Linked DNA regions of Elephas maximus indicus. The protein of the gene in region 1 interacts with the protein of each later gene in a pairwise test. Links are inferred from orthologs where the notes say so. Each region holds a gene or a part of one and is shown on either strand. Other genes may lie near its edges.

The links.
Region 2: the proteins of AAGAB (region 1) and AP2S1 interact in binary tests that used the Homo sapiens proteins (3 or more experiments, as listed by UniProt). The link is inferred for Elephas maximus indicus from reciprocal best matches to the Homo sapiens genes AAGAB and AP2S1.

Annotation. Positions count from the first base shown.
Region 1 is NC_064831.1:57,335,725-57,339,636, reverse strand, and holds the start of AAGAB (alpha- and gamma-adaptin-binding protein p34), read left to right. Parts: upstream 1-1,365; 5' UTR 1,366-1,405; coding exon 1,406-1,667; intron 1,668-3,912. Other genes in the region: IQCH (IQ domain-containing protein H), read right to left, coding at 1,273-1,365. UniProt on the Homo sapiens protein: May be involved in endocytic recycling of growth factor receptors such as EGFR.
Region 2 is NC_064829.1:102,156,441-102,160,352, forward strand, and holds the start of AP2S1 (AP-2 complex subunit sigma), read left to right. Parts: upstream 1-929; 5' UTR 930-1,071; coding exon 1,072-1,074; intron 1,075-3,912. UniProt on the Homo sapiens protein: Component of the adaptor protein complex 2 (AP-2). Adaptor protein complexes function in protein transport via transport vesicles in different membrane traffic pathways.

The DNA.
Region 1 (3,912 bases):
CATAGGCTCTCTTTCTTTACATGGGCCTTCACTTTCCAAGTCCTGAGTAACCTTTTTACGTAAGTGGGGGCACTGAGCCACATGGACGTGACTATTCTTACTTAGCTCCTCTGTTGCATTTTACAATTCAGTGTCAACAGACATTGATTACTGTAATGTATCCTGGGCTGACCAAACAGCTCCCTCTGGATTCCATTCTGAAGTGAAAAGGCTTCTGGCTTTTCAGCTAGAGCACTCTTGTACACAATACCAAACCACAAGGGGAGCAGCCCTGGGAAATACAATTATCTCAAGGGAAGCTGTGAAACTGGCCTGCAGAAGGTCTGGAAGATTCTCCCCCAGATTCTTGTCTCTTTTTTAGAGATGTTCTAGGCCTGGAGGAATAGAGGAAACTAAAGAGAAAGTTAATTGTTCCTGTAGTCAACATGAAGTATACTTCATGGGGAAGAACTGGCTGTTTCTGGACAAGAGTTTCCATTAGTGTTTCAACTGTTTGGAGTCTGTAAAAATGGGGACCGGGTTTATAGGGGATGTTGGGTGAAAGAGAGGATGATAAGAGTGAGGTAAGAGAATTTGGGCATGATTCACAATCGGGAAGTCTATGAAATGGTTGAGTCCCAAGGCTCGTACTTTGGAAAAGGTGAATTTAGGAAAGTTTCTCCCAGATGGGAGGTAAGAGACCAAAATCCTGCCTGGAAGAACAAGTAAACCCGTTGAAGATCTGAGAATCCTGATAGAATGATCGTAGGCAAATCACTTCAAGCCTTATTCAAATGGAGCTAAATCTAAGAGTTAAAAATCGTTATGCATGTGGATGCATTTTAGAACTGGGATAGGTAAATGTGAAAAACGAACAAACAAACAATAAAATGCCTTAACCATTTCAGAAAATTCTGAAATTTGACGTCATGGCTTCAAATTTTTCAGAACATAATACTTGTAAACGGTGTCTCAGTGCAAGATGGATTTTTTTTTTTGCTGTAAACGTTCCGGGTGAGGTGATCTACAGTGTACGGCCTTGGGGTTTTACCAGGAGCAGAGTTTGTGGAACGCGACCTCCAGTGTATGGCACGGGGCTGAGGGGTGGTGCTGGGCTCCTGGACGAGGTCTGGGTGGGCATATTTGGGAGTTCTCTCAGGGGCTGAGGCCCTCGAGGACTGAAGGCAGTCTGGGAGCGGCGCCCCAAACGAGTGGACGCGCGCGAAGCGGCGCTGCTGGGCCTCGCTCCCAGGTGTCTTAGCTGGGCGGGGCCGGGAGAGGCCCATTTCCCACCTGGATTAAGATGGATCCAATGGGGTCGTAGTTTTCAGTCTCCTGAGCCATGGTCAGGGCCGGGGAGAGTAACCTCCCCCCCGGAGGCGCCATCTCCAGGCGCTGAAACCTTCGGCCAGGGGCGTGTGTCCCCATGGCAACGCTATGCGCGGCCCGGCCTATTCTACCGCGGGAGCGGAAGAGGGGAGCGAGGAAGGAGCCGGGGCGGCCTATCCGTTCCGAGATGGCGCCCTTCCTTGAGTGTCTCCCCCGCACGGCGGCGGCTGTGGTACAGCCCAAGGCGGAAGCGGCTCCTGGACGGAACCGGCTCCAGAGCGCAGCCATGGCCGCGGGCGTCCCCTGTGCGCTGGTCACCAGCTGCTCCTCCACCTTTACCGGGGACCGTCTGGTCCAACGTGAGTAGCGAGGCGGCTGGGCCGGCCTTCAACCCCTCAAGCCTCGGTGGGCAACAGGACCAGGGCCTCAACCTGGACCTTGTCGCCGCCGCAGGTCCTCGGCGGTGGCCTGAGGCTCTCCAGGTTCTTCTCAGTTTCTGTCGAGGTCCCTACCCACGCCCCCAGGTGTCAACCCTGTAACTCTTAAACTCATTGCTTTTCTGCCTGCCCGGTGCACTACTGCGTTACTTCCAGCATCTGTAAAGTGGGACTGATCCCTGCCCAGCCCACCTCACGGGCTGTTGGGAGGATTCAGTGAGATGAAGACCATAAAAGACGCTCTGGAAACTGTATTGAGCTACACGAGTATAAGGTGCAGAGACTGTTGATACAGTTGTGGCTTTTATTGCTGTCCCGGCTCCTGAGGTAGGGAGTATGTTTCCTCTGACTTTCGTGTGTGTTCAATTACTAGGTTAACCCTTGATGTATGCAAGACTTGTTCTTGTACTCTTTACTATGTGGTTAGTCCCTGCTTTGCCTTCTGAGGTTCTCCACCAATATTAGTTTTAGAGTATTTCTGAGCCTAGTCCCTTCGCCTCTGGACCCTCATATTGGTTGTCAGATTAAGTAAGTCTTAAACCCTAAGTGAAGAGACCATTGTGTTGGAGAGAGCACAGCACGGATCATAGGCTCAACTCTGCCGCTGAAGGGCCCTGTGAAGTTGGCTGTAACTCAAGACACCTTTTTCACATCCATGGCGTGGTGTCAGAGCACTGACTCTTAGCTGTATGATTGTGGGTAGGTCACTTAACCTCTGCCTTTCAGTCTTCTCATCTATAAAATGGGCACAATTAATCCATCATTTACAAGATTGTTGGGCTTCATTTAGACCTGGGTTCAATTTCCTGCCGCTTCACCTCCAGTGCAGCCACTGCCCATCTGTCCTGGAGGTTTAACGGGTTCCTGTGATGCTGAATAGGTTTCAGCGGAGCTTTCAGACTGAGACAGACTAGGAAGAAAGGCTTGGCAACCTACTTCCAAAAAATCAGCCAATGAAAGCCCCGTGAATCATAGCGGCCTGACCCCATTGTGCATGGGGAATTGATGGCATTTTTAACAACAGCAGTGTTGTTATTAAAGCATATTATCTCAGTGACCCTCAGTTTTCTAAACTTTAAAATGTACTTATTTAGCAGGGTTATCTGAAAGAAAGGTGAGGTGACATTTGGGAAAGCACTTTGTAAGCTGTATAAAGCATCCTACAATTTTATTTTTTTTTTACACCTACCAAATGTTAGAATCAGGCAGATGTCCCTCCAGCACAGATTTTCTATGACTTAGTTATCGTTTGTGATCACTTAGAATGTTCCTTGCTAGGGTAAAATTTTAATTATAGCACTTATTAAATGGCAACTAACTGCCATTTCCTTACCTCTTAGAAGTGCTCCTTCCCATTGTTTTTTTTTTAACGTAATGTTTCTTTGTAAAAGTAGTGGATTCTCATTAAGTACAATTTAGCATATGGAGAAAAGAAAATGTCATAGTCTCATCACCCAAACACAAACACTGCTAACATTTCAGTGCATTTCCTTCCAGTTTTTCTTCTAATGCATACTTGTTTTTAAATAATTCAAATTATATTTCATATGTAATTTTTATGCTGACTTTTTCACTTCATAAAATTAATTTCCATCACAAATTACATCTAGCAAACATGTCATACTTTGTTCAAGATTCTTAAGCCTCTTGGTATATTTAAATTTCCAAAAAATGTATATCCGTTTTAATTCTCATCACTGAACTATGAAAGTCCTTACGGCCAGCCTCAGAAACCTGTGCTAAGTATTCTGATGGCCATGGTGCTGTATATATCGTATGCTTTAAGGAGCAAAAATTTTTATTTCTTTTTGCTACTCATAGGCCTGGGACTCAGAGGCCTTATTTGCAGTATTCTAGGTGGATGTCTGCCATTATATAAAAGGGGCATTACTGATTTCCGTTGTAGGCTTTTAAAGGGAAATGAAGGCTCAGGAGCCTGAGGGACTTTTAGAAGGCTATCTATAACATGAGAGTAAGTCTCAGGGCCAGAACGCTTTCCACCTCACATATGATTTTAACTTTTATTCTGGAAATATTTATTAAGCACAGAGCTAGTCTCTTTGCCAGTTACTGCCGCTACAGTGTTGGCTAAGATACTATCCCTGTCCTCGAGAAGGATGTAGTGAAAACAGGTGTATGCTCCACTTGTGAAGATACTGAAACGTAG
Region 2 (3,912 bases), on another chromosome or scaffold:
AAGTTGTTGTTAGTTGCCATCAAGTCAAATCTGACTTATGCCAACCCCATGCAGAACAGAACAAAATGCTGTCTGGCCCCGCACCAGTATTCATGATCTTTCAGTCCATCGTTGTAGCTATTGTGTGCCTTCCAACCTAGGGGGTACATTTTCCAGCACTATATTGGACAACATTCTGTTGTGTTCTGTAGGGTTTTCATTGGCTAATTTTTGGAAGTAGATTGCCAGGCTTTTCTTCCTGGTCTTTCTTAGCCTGGGAGCTCCGTTGAAACCTGTCCACCATGGGTGACCCTGCTGATATATGAAATATCAGTGGCATAACTTCCAGCATCATAGCAACGAGCAAGCCACGACAATACAGCAAACTGACGGATGAGTGATGGTGGTAGTATTTACAAGGGGTAACTATTATGATGACTGCCCTCTTTTAATGACTGCCCTCTTTTAAAGATAAAGAAATTGAGACTTAAGAGGTGAACTCCCTGGCCTGAAAGTCAGCTAGGAACTGCGACGGCAGGATTTTCACACAGTTCCACTCCCAAATTCCTGTTCTTAAACCACTGTCCGTCTCTCGCAGGGAAACCGTCAACATAATTTAACCAAAGCACTGGGTGAGCACTAAAAGTTACATTTCTAGCTCCCTAACGTAGTTTCTTACTTAAAGTTATTTCCAGCATGCCCTTCTCTCTTCGGAGGCTGTGGTGGGGCACGTACTACATTTCCCAGAATGCAAGCCTTACTTATCTTGCTGTCAAGCTCTTCGGGAATTGTAGTCCTCTGAGAGATGCTCATCCACAACTCCCAGTATGCACTTGGGGTTTGAATCGTGTGGTACGAAGAGGACTGTCGCTCAGCATGCCGGGAAAAGGGCCTGGCCCTTTTCGCTGGCTTGCTGCTGGGACGTGTTGACCGAGTCGCCGGACTACAACTCCCAGCGGGCCGTGCGTGAGAAGGCAGGCGGGCCCCCTTGCCGGAAGTCCGCTCTAGCCCTGAGCCCCCCAACTGCAGCCAGAGCCAGAGCCCTCCAGTCGCCACTGGATCGGGGCCGCTGGGGTCCGGACAGGGGTCGCCATGGTAACGGGGGCGCGCCCTCGCCTGGGACGGGCGGAGGGGGGTCCGCGTGCAGACACCTAAGCCCTGTTGTGCAAATGACAACCCCCCTGCCGCGGTGCGATGGTCTGGGCCGAGCGCGGGCTCGCAGAGTTGGGGAAGATCAAGGACCGGGAAGGGAGGGGGGAACACGGCAGTGACTTTTCGCTCGGGGGTGGCTGGGGGTCCCGAGGCGTAGGGACATTGGAGACGCGAGGGGAGTGTCACGGGGAGAGGGCTGTGCGGGTGGGAGACATTGGAGGTGGTGGGGTTCTTGAAACAAGGGAGGAAAAGACTGGCAGGGCAGGGTCTCAGGGATAAGGCGAGGGGATTGGAGGTGTGGAGGGGGCACGCTAATAGGAGGACTCTCTTAGTGTGAGGCGGGAGCGTTGGAGGCGAATGAGAGACTTTGGAACTGGGGAGAGGGGGCCCTTCCTGATGGGAGGGGTCTCCAGAGGTAGGGAGCTGGCATCGCAGGCGGAGAGGAGGTGTTGAAACAGGGACGGGATACTGCTGGGGAAAGGGAGATGATCTCAAGGGAAAGGGACTGGGCGCTGGAGATCTGAATAAGGCAACTGTAGGGAATGAATGGGGCTTTCGAGTCGAGGAATGTGGGCTGCGAAGGGGGAGAGGGGTGGAGGTAGGGAGTGGATACCAGAAATAACTGGCGAGCATTGGAGCTGGTTTTCCCAAGAGGAGTAGTCTCTGGGGATAGGGAGGAGGCTTTGGAGGTGAGAGGAGGTGCAGGAGATGGGAGGGGGCTCGTGGGGGAGGGGCTAGTAATTGGATTTGGGGAGAGGGCAGCACCCCTCCCCCCAGAATGGTGGGCTTTGGAACAGAAGAAAGTGTTCTTTGAGCAGGGAGTCTAGAAAGGCAATGAATGGAGGAAGATGTCAGAACAGCAGTGTTCTAGGAGGCAAGATGTGGTCTTTGGAACACCGGACGAGGCGTTTCAGTCAGAGAAGGAATGTCTTAAAAAAATGGCCCATTGAGGCCTGAGGGAAGGGATTGAAATGGAGAGAGTGGAGGTCGAAGAGAGTATCTCCAGAGGAGAAGGTCTGGGAGATTGGGAAAGTTGGGGGTATCCACATGGGGCATCCAGAGGGGTGAGCAGTAGGGGGGAGGAAACTTCTCAGGGTGAATCCCCAGAGGTGGAAAGATTCTAATTGTGGGAGAGAAGACACGGAAGAGGTGTATGAGGGAATTTGGGGGCAAGTGGCTGAGCTCCTTCCCCTCAGCTCTGTGGGCCTCTTTCTAGCTCCCCTTTCCATATGCCCTATATATCTCCAGCTCTGCCCCCCCAGGCTATGGTTGCCTGTGTGCCCTCCCCCCAGGCCTCTTCCCTTCCTGCCCAGGACCCCTGCCCTGTCAGGAAGTGGTTTTCCCTGGCTCAGCAGAAGGGGTTCTTGGAAGGAGAGTGTAATATCCTGTTCCCGTCCAGCTTGGTTGGTTGGGGGAGGGGGGGATAGAGTGTGGCAAATATGCCTTAGCAAAGAGAGTGGACTCCAGTTAAAGGGTGGAGGCTCCCACAAGTCAGGGTAGGGGGGTTTAGGGCAAAGCCGTCTGACTCCCAGCTCTGTTTTTTGGCTGTGAGACTTCCTTTCCTTGAGCCTCAGTTTCCTCATCTATAAAATGGGTATAAGTATGCCTGTGTCAGACAGAACTGGGCCCAAAGGCAGGCTTCCTAGTGGGTGAGCTTGGGGCATGGTTTTCTCAAAGACAAATAATGAAGAATTACAATGCTAAAAAGAGCTAATACTTAAACATTATACAATGAGTGTATAACACACAGTTTGTGCTAGTCACTGTACTGTACCCCTTGTGCTTATTAACCTGAGCAGCAGTCCTGTGAGGGAGGTATTCTCTCATTTTGTCCATTATACACAAGGGGAAAGACACGGAGGCCCAGAGAGGTTGAGTGACTTGCCTGTGGACACACAGCCAGTAGTGAGCAGTGCCAGGATTTATTCTGGCTCCAAAGTCTGGGTTCTTAGCCAGTTGGTCAAACTGCTCTGAGTCATAATAATAGCTAACTGTATTGAGTGTGCAGTATATACTAGACATAGGCTAAGCATAGCTGGCATTAACTCATTAAATTTACACAGCAGCACTATGAGGGTTGACCTGGCTTTTCAAAACCATAATAAATTTCCTAGCCATATCTGATGCTGATTGTCGTAGCTGACACAGAACGCTTATTCAGCCAGGCGTTTGTTAGAGTACTTCTACATTGTCTGTTCCTCATTACTCCCTTATATGGATAGTACTATTATTATTCCTATTTACAGGTGAATAAACTGAGGCACTGAGCAGTTAAAAACCAAGCCCAAACCCATTGCCATCAAGTCGATTCCGACTCGTAGCAACCCTATAGCACAGAACACAACTGCCCCCTCGGGTTTCCAAGGCTGTAATCTTCACGGAAGCAGACTGCCACATCTTTCTCCTGTGGAGAGTCTGGTGGGTTCGAACTGTTGACCTTTCGGTTAGCAGCCTAGTGCTTAACCATTGCACCATCAGGGCTCCTTAAGTTACTTAAATAGTAGCAGCCACTTTGGAAAACAGCTTGTCAGTTTCTGAAGAAGTTAAATATAGAGTCACCATGTTGTTATTGTTGCGTGCCATCGCATTGATTCCAACTTAAAGTGACCCTATACGACAGAGTAGAACTGCCCCATAGGGTTTCCTAGGTTCTAATCTGTTTGCAGCAGATCACCAGGTCTTTTCTCCCCTCCTAGGTATATACCCAAAACCAAACCAAACCAAACCCACTGCCGTTGAGTCAATTCCGACTCATAACTACCCTATAGGACAGAGTAGAGC